3 linked regions of the Coturnix japonica genome follow. The protein of the gene in region 1 interacts with the protein of each later gene in a biochemical or structural test. Links are inferred from orthologs where the notes say so. Each region holds a gene or a part of one and is shown in the gene's direction. Other genes may lie near its edges.

Region 1 (6,093 bases):
GTCCTAATTTCTTTCTCTTCCTAGTAGGGGGCTTGTTTTCAGCATGTTGTTGAGATTTTTAGCATAATTTTGAAATATGGTTTTTAAAGAGACACTTCTGTGTTTCTAGTATGTAACCTTAAACTGAATGGAAAGCATTTTCTAGGAGTTACTGTTTGAAGTCTTGCTATTAACTACTTACTGTTTTTCTGTAATTATAAGGTAACTCAGGGTAATAACAGATGTAGGTTTTAGATATGCAGATTAACATGTTAAGCTGTAGTGGCAGAAAATACAAGTTGCCCTGAAACTGCAGGTAGTGGAAATCATGCCTTGAAACAATTCTTGAGTTGACTTGCAAGGGAAAAAACACAACTATATGACTGCTTTATGAGCAAGAAAATTTCAGAATTTATTTGTACTTCTGTAATCTTTAACCAAGGTGGGATGTCAGGAGCTGGAAATCTTAGCTATAATATACTGTTCAAATAACGTAGATTTAGTCCAGAATTGTACATGTCAGAGCTATTGGATTGTAGCATGAAGAAATACTGTTTGTTGCATCAAGGTGAGGTGCATCTAGAAGATAAGAGAGAAATCTTGTGGTTGCTGAAATGAACTGTTAGAAAAGAATAATGGGAGTTTTTCCTGAATTTTGTTTCCATGTGTCTTTAATGTGAGGAAAGTTTGCATGTTGAATTCTTCTATGTCAATCAATTACAATCTAAAATCTTCAGACCTTCTGTATTTTAATAATAGGCTTCAGTTGTCAAGGAAATCATGCTTGATTCATCTTTTGTGAACATAATTTGATACGAGCAGACTTCTGGTTTCAACCCTTCTGTCTTTTTTTTTTAGCTGCTTTTCTAACCCAAACTGTGTGTCTTGATGATACAACGGTAAAATTTGAAATATGGGATACAGCTGGGCAAGAGCGGTATCACAGTTTAGCACCTATGTACTACAGAGGAGCACAAGCAGCTATAGTTGTATACGACATTACAAATGAGGTAAGTACAATGGGAGAGGGAGTTATGGGGATTCTTTGTGGTCTCGTATCTGCCATTTTTATATATAACTGTCTCATGTGTATCTGTATCAATTCATCTCTTAATGTTGGGCTGTGTGATATTAATTTGTGCCTGGAATCTTTTCTTACCAAGAGACCCGTTATTGTGTTCTTTATATTAAAAAGTATTCAAACAAACTAGAGAAAGCAAATGCCTTTGCAGAGTTTTTTTCCAAGCCCACATTTATATCAGTTCATCTGAATTGTTACTCACCAGGCTACTGGTGACAAATAATTTCTAGTGGTGAAAGATGTTGCGTTCATATGTTACTGTTGCAAAATAAAAGGCAGGTATTAAAGGCAGCATAATCTACTGATGCTATAACATTGTTTGATTTCATTTTGTTTGAGCTGGCATCAGACAAGCTTTGTATTAAACAAGGTTTAATATAATAAATATAATATAAATAATAATATATAATTATTGAAATAATAATATATAAACAAGGTTTAGGTCAAAATGAAACTTAAAATACGAAACCTCCAAAAAACCCAGCATACCTCAACTGTAACGGTGGTCACTAATTAGAAATGTTGAAAATTGTTGAGTTTATGAATAAACTTGATTCTTCTGGAGGAGAAAATGAATTTCCAATTTTCTCTCAACTGTTTCTCTACTTAGTCTTCATAAATCTTTATATCTTCATTTATTTTCTCGGCATTGTCATGACTAAGAACGTCTGAAAATTAGGGTAGGAATGTATCATATAAAAAAACTCTTGAGTGTATCTTTGGACAAAAGTAGCAGCCTTGCTTTAATTGACATTTTGCTTGAAGTATAGATAACAGAGACTGGGATAATTGGTGAGTGCAAAAGGATGGTAAAGACTCAACTTGCATCATTTTGCAATCATTAACAGGAGTCCTTTGCCAGAGCGAAAAATTGGGTCAAAGAACTTCAGCGTCAAGCAAGTCCTAACATTGTAATAGCTTTAGCAGGAAACAAAACTGATCTAGCTAACAAAAGAGCTGTGGATTTCCAGGTATGTACATAACTTCTGTTTAATAGAAATAGTTTGTTTTTTTGGAGGAGGAGGAGGAGCAGGTAAATAGGCCTACTGAGGAGCTTACATGCATAGACCAGGTGGTTGTCAAGGAGGTCATGCTGTTAAATATAAACCTCAAGTGAGAGTAATTCTAGGTGCTGCTGAAAAATGTTTTTGTACAAATGATATATGGCAATAGACTTGTTTTGAATAAGGAATTAAGTATGAGGAATAACTAATTTATTTGCATATCTTCAAGGCTAATTGAATTCCTGTTCTATGATCTGATCTCTTCCTGTCTTCCACTCAAAATTATCTGTAATTACAGTGTTAGTGGAAGCGATAGAATGATCTGCACTGAATTTGTTCCTAAGCTCTCTGACGTGTCCAGAGGGAAATTTTGAGAATCTTATGATACAAAGTTGATTGATAGACTTAGCTTGCCTAGGGTATACTGTTGAAGCAGTGTTCAGCTTTTAATTCTCCTTTTCATGGCATTATTTTTGTTTATGTTGATACACATGTGCTCTTCGGTTACATTTGTCTTCTTGAAAACACTGATTAAACTTAGTTATCAGAAAATGACTTCCAAAACAAATGAAATTCACTACAGATGTTCTCATCCATGCAGCACTGATTGATCTTAAGAAAACTGATTCATATAGGTATTTATTCATTAGTAATTAATTATGTTTCTGTTTTCATCTATGTCATTGTGTTAGTTACTGCTGTGTATGGTAATGAATCCTTTTATAACTTTAGAAGTCAGTCTGTGAAGATTAGGAGCTTTAGGTACTTTTCAACCTAAATTCAACATTGTCAAAAAATTTTATTCTTTCATGTCAGTTGCAACATAAAAACTACCACAGAAAAAGCAGGCATTCTGTGGAAAACTTGTGGTTTGTGACAGATCCTGTGTATCTGTATAGATAAAAAACTTAATCAAATTTTAAATATCTACACTTTTTTTTTTTTCCGTTAGTTTTGTTTCTTACAGTTATGTACTCAGCATTTTTTTGTTGTTATCTTCTCTTTTTTGCAAACAACTATCAAACCTATTTGAGATTAAGTACTGATTAATGTGTTATTTCTGTTGTGGTTACATAGGTTTTAGCACATGTTACTTAAATGAATATTGAGCTAGACTGCAGTTTTTCTTTGTTTCATCATAGGTATAGTTTGGCTTTATGCAGATTTCTGTTGGATTCAAAGACAGTTTCATAATCTGAAGATACCAGGGATTTGTAGCTGAACTGGCTAACAGGAGGTGGCAAAAATAGGGAACAGAAGTATTTCAGATGTGTATTTCAGATAGAAATTCACACTGGTAAAGGAGATCATATGACAAGACATTAGATTTTCCTAATTAGTTTTATTATCCTGACAAAAATCCTCTATTCTAAAACTTCTGATCAATCTGCCTTAGTGGATGAAAGATTGAGTAAGGATGAAAGGTAGTTCTTCATAGAAGTGATAATGGAGCTTTTTGGCATTTGAAGGCACTTTCTGTTGCTTATTCTTGCTATTACAGCTAGAGTCTTGTGGTAGGATTGTCCTTCTAATATTTACTATTTAGTTTTGTATTAGGTTTGATCTGGAATATTACTTTAAGACAAATAAGGGTTTCAGGATTGCATTTCTTTTACCTGATGGAGTTACAACTTCCCCATAGCTAACGAGTAACACACAGTCATGAGTGTTTCAGCAAACCTTTTTTGAAAATGGAGTAGAAATTCTTCATTAGTAGTAGTAAGAGTATGGTTTGTAATAAAGTGATGCTTTGACTTTTTAAGAATGGACTAATGCAGTATTTTCTTTCAGGAAGCACAAGCTTATGCAGATGACAACAGCTTGTTGTTCATGGAGACGTCGGCCAAGACAGCTATGAATGTGAATGAAATCTTCATGGCAATTGGTGAGTTGATGAGGGGAGATGGGGGGGAGTTAGAAAATCGAATGTAATTGTTTTCTTGAGATTCATGTAATCAGAAGCATCCTAACTAACTAACAAGCTCTTCCAGATTTTCCCATAAATCTTTTTTCTTTCTGTGGCACTGATGTTTCCTTAGGCCCCTTAGACTCTTCTATGATGTTGTGATAAACTTATTTGAAGCATATTTGCACAGGCCTTCTGTCAAGCATTTAAAGCTTGGATTAATTTGTAGTAGCTGAATGAGCTTAGATTAATTAAAATTCTGTCAGCAAGTTTCATGTAACTGCCTTTTTGTTGTGGTCAGTGATACTACTTCAGGTTGAAGCAAAATTAAGCTGTAGTTGCTGTTCTGTATTTAAAAACAAATCAAAAGAAAACCTTCCCATGGCATAGCTTACCATTAAAAGTTTTGCATAGTTTTACATTACTTCAACAAGTCCAAAATATATTTTATGGTTATCACGTTAATATAGAATATAAATAAAAATGTATAAATTAGTGTCTCTTCACATTATGCTTTTTGCAACAGATCTCATACTGCCTTGAGTAGGTACAAAAGTCATAATATTGTACTTATAATACAATTATAATTGAAGCTGGAAACATCAAAATAGGAGATGACAGTGACTTGCTTTAAAGATATCAGGAGTATTCATTTTAGACTAATCAGCGTATTTGCTAAATACTGTTTTATAATTAAAAACTCTTTGAATTCCAAGTGCAGCAATGTAAGATGCAAAGGGTATGCCAAGAATGAGTATGTGTGTGTTTAAATTCAAAGTCTGAGTACAGGTGAAGGGTACTTTGTGTGAAAAGTGAATTTACTAATGGATTTTTAGAGCTGACACTCCTTAGGAATTTCTTTAAAGTTGACTACACATAAAGAAAGTTGAAACTGCTAACAGTCTTGTTAGTTATCTTTCCTTGATGGATTTAACATATCTCATTATTAAAAAGAAAAAAAGGAGAAAGAAAGTGGGCTCTTCTAGGTGGGTTACTTGCCCTATTTAATAACCTTAATTAGAGTAGTCACACTGTTACTAGGAGGAAACAGTATAGTGTCAAATATCTGTATTAATCTGTTTCTTGTGTTGCACTATGATGACCTCTTTTGCTTTCAAAATAAATTCTTTTTAAAGAGCCCTTACCTTTTTCTTTGCAAACCAGTTAAGTAGAAGGTAACCTAATGCAGTTCAGACTTCCAGCAAATGCATATTAAATTATGGCTATAGCAACATTTTACAGCAAATACTCTCCTTATATTAACTGTAATCATGCGGGTTAGGGGGGTTACAGAATTCTAAGTAGAAAATGTATTTTTGTCATAAATGCTGGAGGTAGCACTGCATTTAACGATACAGAAATGCTCAGTTATAATCCTCTTTGCGTGACTGCTGTGCAGCTTCAAAAATATTTCTTTTAATGTCATGATGCAAACTGCATCTTTAAAAGTTATGTGCAAAATGAGTCTTGAAACTCTGTTGGGATTTTGGTAAATTATTACATAAAGAGAAATTCTTACCTGTCCCTACTTTTAATGAAGTATACGCAATAAACATGACAAAAAGTATGTACTTAGTACCTGGATATTTAGTCTGCAAGGTTCTTAGTCTGTGTGAGTTATTCTTTGGGTGAAATGGGTGACATTCAAACTTAGCATTGCATCAGAACAAGATCTGTGCAGCACTGAGCTTAGAATAGCCTTTTGCACAACATGGGTTCATTTCTGTGGAACCATATGTAAGTGTGATCTTCCAAAAATGTGAGAATAGTCAAAAATGAGAACATGGAAAAGAGTGGATGCAAGCTACAACTGCTTGTGAATTAACTGCCTTAGAGCTTGTTCAAGGCTTCTGGTTACTGGAAAAACAATAAATAAATAAAAAAAAAATATTCATTTCCGATATCAGTAATCTCAAGCAACAGTGCTTTGAAGATGGTTTGCTGACTCTGTGTCTCTTCATGCCGTCTTTGCAGCATAATGTCATGAGAACTCTTGGGTTCTGTTAACCGAGTTAATTATTTTCACGTGCTAATTTTCTTATTGCTTCCTGTAACAGCAATAAGTAGTTCTTGAAAACACTGGCCGACATAGTTCTGGAGTCAAAGTGTACAGCCAGAAAGTA
Region 2 (5,908 bases), on another chromosome or scaffold:
AGCACGAGAAAGAAGTTTCTTAAAACACTTCTTTCCTCCCTGATTTCATAGGGTAAAATTTGAGGAAAATGACAGTATTTTATTGTAACAATCTGCTTGATGTAATTGGTGGAGGAATAGAATTAAGATTAGAACGAATTCAGAAGTCCAAAACGTTTTTGTTGCCTTTTGTTTGCTTGGTTTGTTTTGGGTTTTTGGTTTTCCCATCATTACATTGACAGCGTTGTGCACGACAAAACCAGGTGGGGTTTTCATGTGGAATCAAATATGGCCAACTTAATTCTTCAATAAAAGCAGTCTTTATTTTCTGTATTTCAAAGCTGTGCCTCCCCTGCCTTTGTCTCTGCACCGTTTATAATCATTTCCTTCATTTGGGTCTTCTTATAATGATGCTTTATTTCTCAGGGACCCAAAGGTATCATCATTTCTATAAAAGGAAATACTGAACATGCAAAGTATTCCTCATATCACGCCATGTGTGTTTTCCTTTTCCTTCTTTGTGGCATTAAGTTCAGAACCGCCCCAAAGCTGTGAGCTTTTACAGGTGCACATGCAGTGTTCTACGTGTGCTCCTCTGTGGTGAGGAAGAACTCTCATGCTGTTGGTTTGTTCCAATTGCAGGAGAGGCCTTCAGAATTATTTCTGGTCCACCTTCTTTTGGGAACTGAGATTACAAAGCATTTTTATTGAAGCAAACAGTGGAAATCTATACAGAATGTCTGAAACCACTTTTAATCTCTCTGTATTTGATCCTTTCTGGCAGTTTCCTTTGCCCTGTGTAGTCTTGTATGCTACACATCAGGAGAATAAGCGCCTCTTTGGATTTGTGCTTAGAACTTCAGGAGGGAGAGCTGACAGTCGACAAACTTCCATCTGCTATATCTTTGAATCAAATAATGAAGGGGAAAAGGTATTGGTGATGGTTATATTTGTATCCATTTTCTGATTCCAGTCGTTTTCTGACATGGATTCTAAGGTGTTAGTTCCATTCAGGCTGTCTATGGGATTTGTATGGGAGAGTTTATGTACTGAAAACAAGTTAATCCAATAGCTGAAGTAACTGTAAAATGCTTTAGCACACTATCGTACCTGATGTGGGAACGTGGCATGCTTTTAAAGGCATTTGTTAGATTCTTACAGACGATTTCAAATTTGATTTCTATTTAGATTTGTGACTCCGTTGGACTGGCAAAACAGATTGCTTTCCATGCAGAACTGGTAAGAATCTGTTTAGGGCACAGTATCCTTGTGAATGGAAGGGAGAAGGCATATTTAGAGTCTGTAATATTCTGTATTCTGCAGGATGCTTATAGATGCAGTAATGCTGTTGTGGAGAACTCAAAAGGATTTGTTTTATAGAATTTGAATCCAAGATAAAAAGATCTTCACCAGTATCTACCCTGGCACAATGCTCAAGATTGGAATCCACTCTGTACCTTTAACAAACATACCTGTCCATTAAAAGAAGCATAAATCAGGTGTCCCAGAAGTTTTGAACAAACTCAGATAAGCCCACAGCACACCAAGCCCACTGGGCAGTTGTTTCTTTTACTGTTATTTTTGCCCTTCAGGATCGAAAAGCATCAGAAAAGCAAAAAGAAATGGAGAGAGTCAAAGAGAAACAACAAAAAGAACTGACTAAACAAAAACAAATTGAAAAGGTATGCTCTGTTATTTTTAATACTATTTTTTGTTTTGATTTTTTTCCTATTTAGTCACTTTGTTTTGTAGCTTTGTAGTTCCAGCTGCAATATCACATTCTTTAGAACAAACAAACAGAGTATTGTGAAACCAAGTTATTGAAGTATTTTCTGTGCAAGTCCTGTATAATTTTGTATTTTAGTTCTTCAAAAGAGCTTTTCTGAGGAGATAAACAACAAAACTTCTTCATAGGGGGTATTTAAGAGCAGTGCTTGAAGGAACACCTATCGCAGACTGTCCCATACATGGCTGCAAGAAAACATCAGCCAGGCACTGACGCAATTCAATTGGAGATTGGAGCCTGCAGGGAGCAGGCTGTAGGCCAAGCTGTTAGTTCTGACCTGCTGTATTGTATGGATTACCACTAATAGAGGCGTTAAACATGTAAACTCTCCTACTGATGTCAGCTTTTGAAACCCAAATGTCCAAATCTTATTAGTAGTATTCTGTTTCTACCTTATGGAGCTTTAACTTGAGCATTATTTTTCTGATTTCCTTCCCTTTCCTCCCTCCTTTCTCTAATCAGGACTTAGAGGAGCAAAGCCGACTGATAGCTGCCTCCAACAGATCAAACCCAAGCAGTGGAGAAGGACAGTTTGTCGTCCTCAGCAGCAGCCAGTCAGAAGACAGCGATTTAGGAGAGGATGGAAAGAAGAAAAGGGAATCTGAAACCTAAGGTTGCCTAGTTCATTAAAATTGGAATCATGGATCTAAGTAAGGTCTACAAGAAGCGAAATCTAGGTGGAGGGTCTGTTGTATTATATAAAGACTTCACAATGTCTAGACCCTAATATGCCTTGCTGTTTCTTTCTCAATTAAGCGATTACCACTTTCATGTCAGTTTCAGTTCTCTTTTGTATGCCACATAGACATGGTAGCATCACCATTCTTTTTCTCAAAATTAGGTTTTCTCAAAGAATTCTCTGCAGGAAGGGAAAAAGATGGATTTTTCTTTTTTCCATTTGCCCATCTGTGCAATTGACTGCTTTGGAAACGAAACGTAAGTTCTCACTGAACTTGAGTAGTACTGCAATTTGTTCATTACACTGCAGCGTGTAGAACACCTTGCTGGAAACAAAAGGGAGTGTCCAGATAAGACAGTATGAAACAAAATCTGCACTGTGTGGTACCGTCTTTTTTTTGGGGGGTGAGGGGGATTCAAATGCAGAAGGTTTCCTTGAACAGGAGATAGAAATAAAAGACTGCGCTATTCTGCATCCTATAGTCAGTCTCCTAATGCATTTTTCAAAGCAGTCTCTGTTTATACCTCATAAGCCTGAACTCCATGGCCCATACCCTGTGTAATATTTATTTTGTATAATACTAAATGTGCATTCATCTTTTGATCCAGATGAGAAAACGTGTTTGAAGTAAGAAGAAATATTTATTTTTGCACTAATTACTATAAATACTAAACTCCAATGGAACAGATGTCTCTCTAATAGTGGCCTGAGCATAACAGAAAATGTAGAAAGAGAAGAGTATATTCTAAGATGTTTTATAACGGTTAAGAGTGTTTTACAGTTCATTGCAGAACATTTCTAGTCTTTGGCTTTCAGCCCAGCCCTTCATAGCTAGAATTGCATGGTGCTGGTTAAGTGAGGGATTTCAGGACCTCTGTGCTAGATGGCTGTAGATGCATAAAAGGAACACTGTCCTTAATTGCATAGAAGTTGTTTTGCGTAGGCTAACAAAGGCAACCTCCTTCTGCTTTTTATGCTGGAGATAGATAGGCATTTCTATGCAGCAACCAACTGCATCTGCCTCCTGTCACAGGAGAGAAAAGGGAGCATTGCTCTCACGGTGCCACTGACACCACAGCATAAAGAAGGGATCTAACACCTGTGGAAGTGCTCACAGTATTTGAAAGAGGAGGTGGAGTGGGAGACTGAGCAAGAGAGAGGCTCCAGGTTCTCTTCCTTCTGTTTCAGCCCGTTCATCCTCAGAGCAGCCAGTAGCTTGCAGAAGTACCTGCTTTTGCTGTTATCCAGTCAGGCCATGTGGCATCAGCCTGCGACCAGATGTTGCCTTGTAGTGTCACATGGACCATACACATCTAAGGCTTTAAAAACAAACAACAAAAAACAAAAACTTAAGTGGCATTTACTTCCTGTCTGGTCTTGTAACCTCATCTGTAAGAGGCTACTTTCATTCTTTTCAACAGAAACGTACAGAAAGGCAGCAAATGCTTTTCTTTCCTTTTCCTGCCTATATCCAGTTGCGTGGCAGCCAGTTTATCTCTACAAGTTGCTTCAGTTTATGTTTCCTTCTCTTGGATATTTTTTTTAATGTAATGATTTCTACTTTCTATGAAACAACACGCCAGCACAGCCCAGATTTATAAAATCAGTGAGGTTGAAAAGATGACTAATATCATCCAGTCCAACCTTTAACCTCCAAACTTACTGTGTCCTCCTCAAGTACACACAAAGATAAATTAATTCAGCAACAGCAAAGAAAATATTAAATCGGTGGTCCTCAGTTCCAAGAATCTGGTCACCTATACCACGTCTGTCAGAGTGAGATGAGCTGCAGTGGGCACAGCACCAAGAGGAGGACAGCTAACAGACAGCAACCTCATCCAAAGGTATTGCTGACAGGGTGCCTTATTGGAGAGAGGGCAGAGAGCCGAGTTATCTTTTTTTGAACCTGCCCATTATGTTTTAGACATAAACACAGAACTATGAGAAGGAAATGAAGAGAAAAATCTGAGGCACTACAGTGCTCTTATGGAATTTTTCAGATTAAACAATATCTGACTGGAATTACTCCAGTTGTAGCTCACGTTTTACCATCTATGCCATTAAATGTAGTTTTCTTAATCAGACAGCATAGGATTGAATTGCATTTCACTTGCAGTGAATGATTCTTTTCTCCCAACCCCTGAAAAGAAGGGAAATGAATGAGGAAAGCAGCACTTTAAACTTAAAGTGCCATGCATGAATGAAATGAGGAGGTTTTGTTTTGCTTGTTTAGGCGAGTCTTGCTGGTTTAAAATGAGCAAAGAGGCAGATAGATAGAAAAGCTTCTGGGAAGGTGATGAAAGCTGCAGGAGCAAAGGGCAAGTTGTGGGAGATCAGGATGGTAAAATGGAACAGTGCAGTGAATTAGCAGTGGGATGAGAATTACTCAGTGCCACTTAAAGGGAGGAGCACCTGGATCTATGGATAGAACTACCATAAGGCAAGGAATAGCTGCTGAGGTTTTATCCATGTCCTCCTTCCCTCAGAAAATCTTTTTGGTATCCTTTGATCTATGAATTGTAGAGCTGCTTCATCAGGAAACATGTTTCTTAATTAAAAAAATTACTTAGTATTTACTTTGAGAGTACAGCTTTTAATATAAACGCCTCACGTTCTCCTGGCAATGACTGTGGTAGGGTTTCACCACCTGTTTTAAATAAATTACTGGTTGGTTTCCTTTCTTATGATTTATTTTGCCTGTTTAATATTTCCTGTTGCCTTTTACTTAAGGACTGATCTGAGCTGAAGCTGTAATTTGCTTCATGTGAACACAGTATTATTTCAGAAACTATGTGGGTAATGGGATATTAAGTTTATTACACTGTGTAGGCCATGCAGGTCTTGCTCTTCATTGTTCTGCTCTACATACATTGTCTATGAATGTAGCAGAGTGAATATCAAAATATATAAAAAGCGTGGGCAAACTACAGGCATGCATTTCATTGCTTTATAACTAATACCAAGTACTTATTTATGGATAGATTTGTAGAAGTCTAAACCAGAGGACAAGTTAATAGTCATATGCAGCTTACACAGACCTGGTAACATGTGTTGTGTAAGCAAACATGGATTTGATGGTCTGTTATTTCCTTAATATTTTTAAGTTGGAAATTATATCAAGACAACTTTAACAGACAAGTAATATTTAAGAGTTAAGAAACATGCAGACAAGTGACATCTTAATATGGATGTGAAACCACAGCTGAAAAACCTCATGCAGCTGAGCCTTTTTATAAAGATATAATTTATTTCCATTGCTGAAAAATATTGGCTGGTCATATGTTGAAGGTGAAGCCTGATGAATTAAAGAAGGCGCACAGAATTTAGGAGAAGCCAGTGGAGAAAGCTGTGTTGTTATGCAGTCTCTTGTTATGTCCAGAACTGACACACTCCTGACTCTGCTTAGTGAGTTCAGTTGAGACACTCGGTCTGACAGCAAGAACTGCTTTATTTCTTTCTTTCCT
Region 3 (6,093 bases), on another chromosome or scaffold:
TTGATGAGAAGGAATACACTCCAGAGATTGTGAAACTCTATGAGGTAAATCAAGCAAGGAAGTTGTTCTCATGTCCAAGTTCTTTATGGCTTAATATTCTAATAAAAAGATAAATACGAAAGATAAATACAAAGATGAATCTGAAAGTAAACATTCAGAGGCCTTATGTTATTTACATCCCATGGTAGCTTAAGACCTTATTTTAATGTACAGTTTTGTTCTCATCTGGAACTAGTGATTTTGAAATGTCCCTTAAAAATTGTGCGTAATGTCAGCTGGGATTTGTCAGAACAGTTCTTTTTAAACCAGTGATGTGCTTGTGCTAATGGTGGGCTCTGCTAGAACTATAGAACTAAGTTGTAAGAACTGTTTGTTCCCTCACTGGTGGCAGCCATCTAAATTGAACAACAGTGTGTGGCCAGAATTCTTTGTTCAAATATGCTTTAATAGCATGTACTGATATTCGTTGGGTATCTTCCTGATAAGGAATTCCCTCTCCCAGCCCCAACTTTAATAATAATGGGGATTTCTGTTGATGCTTTTCTGTGAAGAGAGTATGACTAGAAGTTGCCCATCGAAATAGTTTCTGAACTCAAAGTTTACCTTGCAGGGGTGTAGAGATTCTTTCTCTGTTGTTGATCTGTGTTCTCAGGACAGCTGGGGGACCTTGTGATCCTGAGCAGTTCGATGGCTTTCATAGCTATTAGCTTTGAATGTGCACAGTCACATTGAAAGGTTTATGTCAGTAGGTGCTTCTACTAATGTTCTAATACAAGTTCTGCTTTTATGTGCATTGTTAATTAAGAAACTCCGACTCTGCATGGAGAAGGTTGACCAGAAGGCACCTGAATATGTAAGAATGGCAGAATCTCTGAAGTAAGTTTCACTTACTGATTTTGTTCATGAATGTATGTATATTTCTTCCCCTGTAAGTCTGCAAAGTAGGTAAAGAATTGGTGCGGTAAGGCTATGGGTGTTGGTGGGTCATGGAAAAAGTGTTAGGCTTTTCTTTATTTTAATCTAGATAAATAACTATCCAGAGCTCACAGAATTACAGAATTATCAGGGTTGGAAAAGACCTAGAAGATCATCTATTCAACCATTACCAATACTTCCTGGCTAAATCATATTCCTCAACACCACATCCAAAAAGCTCAAGTTAATTCACAAACTAGATTACAAGTCTTAAATCTGATGAGTGTCATCCCTGGGATAACTTACCTTATGATTTAGTATTAACCACAACATTTTGGTGCATGAATTGGATGCCTGAATTAATATTTCTTGCCAAAATCTGTTTTTAAAAAGTTCTAGGATTATACTTTTATTTTTAGAATTAAAGAAATTTTAGTTTTACCAGTTGTAAGCAGCTTTTGATTTGTGTGCTCAGAATTTTATATTACAGACCTGTATTACTTAATGTAATTATATATAAGCCTTAATGTAGATGTTGCAATGACCTGCTGAAAGACTTGTCATATGGGGTAAATGGGATCTAGGCCTGCACTGTGTGTTCAGTATATGAAACGCTGTGGAGTAGTGAAGGCTGGAAGGAACAGCAGTACGTTACTTGGCTATTGAAAAAAATAGTTACATCTGGCATTTGCGGTACTGCTGAAATCAATAAATTTTGAGGAATTCCCAAAGGCAAAGAAGGAGGCTGTACAGCACACAGATCTGAAGGAATTGCCCCAAGGGAGATGTCAATTAGGCTACTGTGAGTTTTTATTTGAATTTTTACTACTTTAAATACGTTTTTCATAATATCTTGAAAACTTCAGAGTAAGTACAAATGTATATATTGGTGGTTGCTGTGCTGACTCACTTTCATTCCTCCCCATCTTGCAGTGTTTGATCTCCTTGTGAACTGTAACAGCATTTCTTTGCAGCCTTACAAAAAAATGCAAGTGGTTTTATTTTCCCTACTTCCTGAATTTTTCTCTTGAGATAATAGAGAGGTTCCTTCCTTTATTCAGATTTCACTTAGTCTAACTGCATAACTGTGTCACTGTTTTGATTCTTATAGAGGCACGTAATCAAATACTAACATGTGATTGGTGACTGGGCAGGCCTATAGAGGATCTTACAGGTTCTGTAGCTTTGGAGATGCTTTTGTGTATTTCAGGTACAAGAGGAAGGGCAAGCTTAAAAATGGTGAAGAAGCTTCCATATAAAATACTAATTTGTTTTCTTCAATAAATATGCGAATCTAGTCATCGTGTCTCCACATGGACTTAGTTGCTAGAATCTTAAACATTATGCCCACATGGGCTTGTAGACTTCTGCTTTACGACAGACATAAGTACACAACTTGTTTTAATGGCATAGTTGCTTATTTGATCAGTGAGGAGTTTTCTGGAAAAAATGCAGAATAGATGCATTGGTTGTGTATATTTTAAGTATTACTGATAGTGGGATTCTTCTTATACTAAAATTAATTTTTCCTGTAATTGTAAATATTCATGTTTACAGGTTGATATTTTCCACTTCTGTCAGCAAGAAATGGTTTCTGTATACAGTGATCTTGAAATAAAAGCATTCTAATAGATGATTTATCCTTACATTTGTTGACATCTTCTTGGGATAGCTTTTAGTGCTGTATGTATCATTCACTGGAAGTATGACTTACGATAAAGTTGTCTTTATTTTGTAGTGCTGGGGAGACAACCTACAGTCTTGAACGTGCTAATGACTTGAGGGTGGAGATTCAAAAAGCGTACGAATTTATAGATGCCCTCAGGTAAAGGAAGTGTGTGTGCTCTCTCTTGCTATATGCATAAACTGCATTATGTTTTTCCCTTCTTCCATTACAGCTTGTACTAACTCAACCTTATCCACAACTGTTGGGGCCTATGTTTATTCACACAGTCAACTTGCCTACTCCATTGTAAAGAGAACGTTGAAAAATAGATGCTGTTCCTGTGCACCATCAATCTCTATTTCCTTTTCTAACCATGCACAGAGGAAACAAGTAGAGGCATAGGTTTTTTTGTTTTTTTTTTTAATGAAGCATTACTGCTTGTAATATTTAGAGTGGCTTACCTAAAAGAACACATGAGAACGTTCATTTCGTATTGTCTTCTTCTCTTCCTGTTGTATTTTCCTTGGCCCCTGTGGTTGAATGGATGAGCTTATGTTTACTTTTATTCAGTAAGAAGATTGTGAGTCTAGGCTTGAACGAAGAGCCCCAGCCTCATCCTAAAACACTGCAGCTTCAGAGAATGATAAGATACTCAGCTACTCTTTTTGTTCAGGTAAATAGAGCATATAATTATGAGCTAAATTTTCTGTGGTGTTCTGTTCTTTGTTGCCCATATGTCTGGCTTAAAACTTCTTTTGACAGAACGTTTACATCTATAGATGTTCTGAAGTCACTGAATGTGGATAGCACAGTCAGAGCAGCATCTGTAAGTCTTGGCTTTGTCTGTGGCAGAGGCCCACCCTACCCGGCAGTATAGTTACAGCAGCCATGATGTGTTCCAATGTGGAGCAGTGTCTGCAGTGGAGGAATACCTGCTATTTGTCTGTGGAGCATTTGTTGTTGTTTCCTTTGAGTACTTGAAAACTTGTCTGAATGCCTGCAAGCATTCACTGTAATTATTTCAATATTTGGCAGGAAAAACTGTTTGGCCTCATGTCCCTGCCAACCAAAAGTCAGTATGAAGAACTGAAGAAGAGAAGACTGCATATGGTAAGACTGGTTCAGGTCTGTATTTGCATGAGGGCCTGCTTCAGGGACTTAAACAGACACACAATTATTTACTATTCATAGTTCATCTGGATGTGTTAGTAGCTACCTGTGTATGAACAGCTGTCCTTAAGACTGGAGTTCTTGATTCTTTTTTCATTTTCGCTGCAGATCATCCCATGCCTGTGTTCAGGGACTTGTGTAACACTCATTGTAGTTCTTCCCAGAACAGAGAGATGTGTACTGAAAGCTGGATGCATCCAGAAAGCAGCAGTGGCTTGTTTGTGGGTGCTTCTGTGCCTGTTAAACTAAGTCATTTGTACAAGTAGAATTTGAAGACTTCTCCAGGTGGTTTAAAAAAAGATAAAATAAATGGAGACATGGATGCAGCTTCAGGAGAGGGTTTTCTTGGGAGGCGGGACATCACCAACACAGAAATAAACCAGCTTCATGTTGAAGTAGAAATTAAGAAATATAAATAATTGCATTCCAAAGGCTAATAATATAATTGATATTTACTCTGATGCCCTGTTATAGAAATATCTGCTGTAGGTGGATGTAATATGGTTGCTGCCCAATCTGCTTGAGCCATCTCTTTGGACAGCTGGATTTAGGTATCTTTTGCTCTCAAGTTTGTACAGGCAGACGTGAATAGATTTCATTAAGTGTCTTCATAAATAATAGGTAGTATTACAAAAATGAACAGTTTTTTCAGAGAAACTAAAGACTGAGTTGATGTTTGTGACAGCAGTATCTAAGGTAGACAACTATTTTCTGTGAATACAAAAGTTAAAAATGGAATTTTTCAAGCTCACGTTCTCCATATATTTTTGTTTTAGGCAGCTCTTGAAACACACAGAAAACAAGAGGAGAAGCAGAAAGACTTGACATGCAGATCTGCAGGTGCAGTTAATGGTGATGCAACTCTCCTTAAAAAAGGAGCAGTCAGGAAATCTGAAGGCTGGCTGCCTACATCGAGCATATCTCGACAGAGTGAGGTGGCAGACCCACTTCTTCAGCAGATTGACAACATCACATCCTTCATTGAGCAAGCAAAGGCAGCTAATAGGCTGGATGAGGTCCGTATGTTGCAAGAAAACCTGAGGCAACTTCAGGATGAATATGATCAACAGCAAACTCTGAAAGCCATTGAGCTTTCTAAAAAACAGGCAGAAGAGGAAGAGAAGCAGAGGGAAGAACTTCAGTTCCTTTGTGAAAAAGAGTGGGAAAGAGAACACCACAAATCCATGTCTCAGCATTCAATGACAGGCTCCTTAGATTTCAGAGAAGGCAAGCAGCATCAGTATGAAGCTGCAAAAGAGAATCAGAACTTGTTAGCACATAGATTGGATTTAGATATTACTCAAGTGAAAGGGAACCGAAGTTCTGAAACTACTGCTGTTCAGCAGATTCCAGCCAAAGAGTACGTAATCGTCCCAGTTAGACACCAGAATACTCCACAGTGTGGCAAAGACCAAAATCAGGCAACCTGTCTAAACCCCTTTGAAGATGAAGCAGATACCCCTCTGTCAGAGGAAGATCCCACTAACCCATTTGCTGAAGATGTGTCTCAACCGGTTTCTTTCTCTAACACAGCTCTGCAAAGTGACAGAAAAGAATATAACCCATTTGAAAATGGGGAGGAAGGTGAACAGACCAGTGGAGCATCTGTCAGTACTTCAAATCCCTTTGAAGAGGATGAAAATCCATTTCAGAAGTCTGGGAACAATTGGAATTCTGGAAATCCATTTGAAGAAGGATCTTCTACCAATCCCTTTGAGGTGGAAGATGTAACTGAGATCTTAAGAGAGGAGGCTATAGACGAGGAACTGCTTCTCCAACAGATAGATAATATCAAAGCCTACATATTTGATGCCAAGCATAGCGGACGAATGGATGAGGTGGAACTACTGACGGAGAACTTAAAGGAACTGAAGTACACTTTAGCAAAACAAAAGGAGAAATCCAACTGTTGAAGCAGCAATCACACCTTGTAAGAGTTACCTCAAGTCCGCTGCTAAGAGATGGGAAGATGGAGCAGTTATAAACAGCAGTACAGATTACAAGAAGGAATTGGGAGAATGTTATATTTTATATGCTTTCATTTATATATTCCCAACACTACTCAGCCTTGAAGAAAGAAGAGGAACGCTGCTAGTCTTGAACACTTATACTAAAAAAACTTATCATAAGTTGTTACAACCATCTTAATGCTAATTCGTCTTACTGTGTGTTTAATTTGGTCAAAAGGCTTAAGCAGTAATAGGGAACTGTCACTTTGTTTTATGGTTGGTTTGTCATCTTTCCTCCTTGTTTGCACTGTGTTGTTACAGCAGCTGAGCTACTGGCTTTTCAAATGGAGCTTTGACCGAAAAGACAAAAGTGTTTCTAAAATTTCTGCATCT

The links. The genes of interacting proteins can lie anywhere in the genome.
Region 2: the proteins of RAB5A (region 1) and APPL1 form a complex in vitro, tested with the Homo sapiens proteins (2 studies listed by BioGRID and IntAct, with this or other methods). The link is inferred for Coturnix japonica from reciprocal best matches to the Homo sapiens genes RAB5A and APPL1.
Region 3: the proteins of RAB5A (region 1) and RBSN form a complex in vitro, tested with the Homo sapiens proteins (3 studies listed by BioGRID, with this or other methods). The link is inferred for Coturnix japonica from reciprocal best matches to the Homo sapiens genes RAB5A and RBSN.

What each region holds. Positions count from the first base shown.
Region 1 is NC_029517.1:32,829,857-32,835,949, forward strand, and holds part of RAB5A (ras-related protein Rab-5A), read left to right. Parts: intron 1-837; coding exon 838-989; intron 990-1,908; coding exon 1,909-2,031; intron 2,032-3,855; coding exon 3,856-3,949; intron 3,950-6,093. UniProt on the Homo sapiens protein: The small GTPases Rab are key regulators of intracellular membrane trafficking, from the formation of transport vesicles to their fusion with membranes.
Region 2 is NC_029527.1:6,339,794-6,345,701, forward strand, and holds part of APPL1 (DCC-interacting protein 13-alpha), read left to right. Parts: intron 1-763; coding exon 764-910; intron 911-1,167; coding exon 1,168-1,218; intron 1,219-1,571; coding exon 1,572-1,661; intron 1,662-1,706; exon of another isoform or gene 1,707-2,227; coding exon 2,228-2,377; 3' UTR 2,378-5,908. UniProt on the Homo sapiens protein: Multifunctional adapter protein that binds to various membrane receptors, nuclear factors and signaling proteins to regulate many processes, such as cell proliferation, immune response, endosomal trafficking and cell metabolism.
Region 3 is NC_029527.1:17,046,751-17,052,843, forward strand, and holds part of RBSN (rabenosyn-5), read left to right. Parts: coding exon 1-44; intron 45-805; coding exon 806-876; intron 877-2,653; coding exon 2,654-2,740; intron 2,741-3,151; coding exon 3,152-3,254; intron 3,255-3,616; coding exon 3,617-3,691; intron 3,692-4,527; coding exon 4,528-5,664; 3' UTR 5,665-6,093. UniProt on the Homo sapiens protein: Rab4/Rab5 effector protein acting in early endocytic membrane fusion and membrane trafficking of recycling endosomes. Required for endosome fusion either homotypically or with clathrin coated vesicles.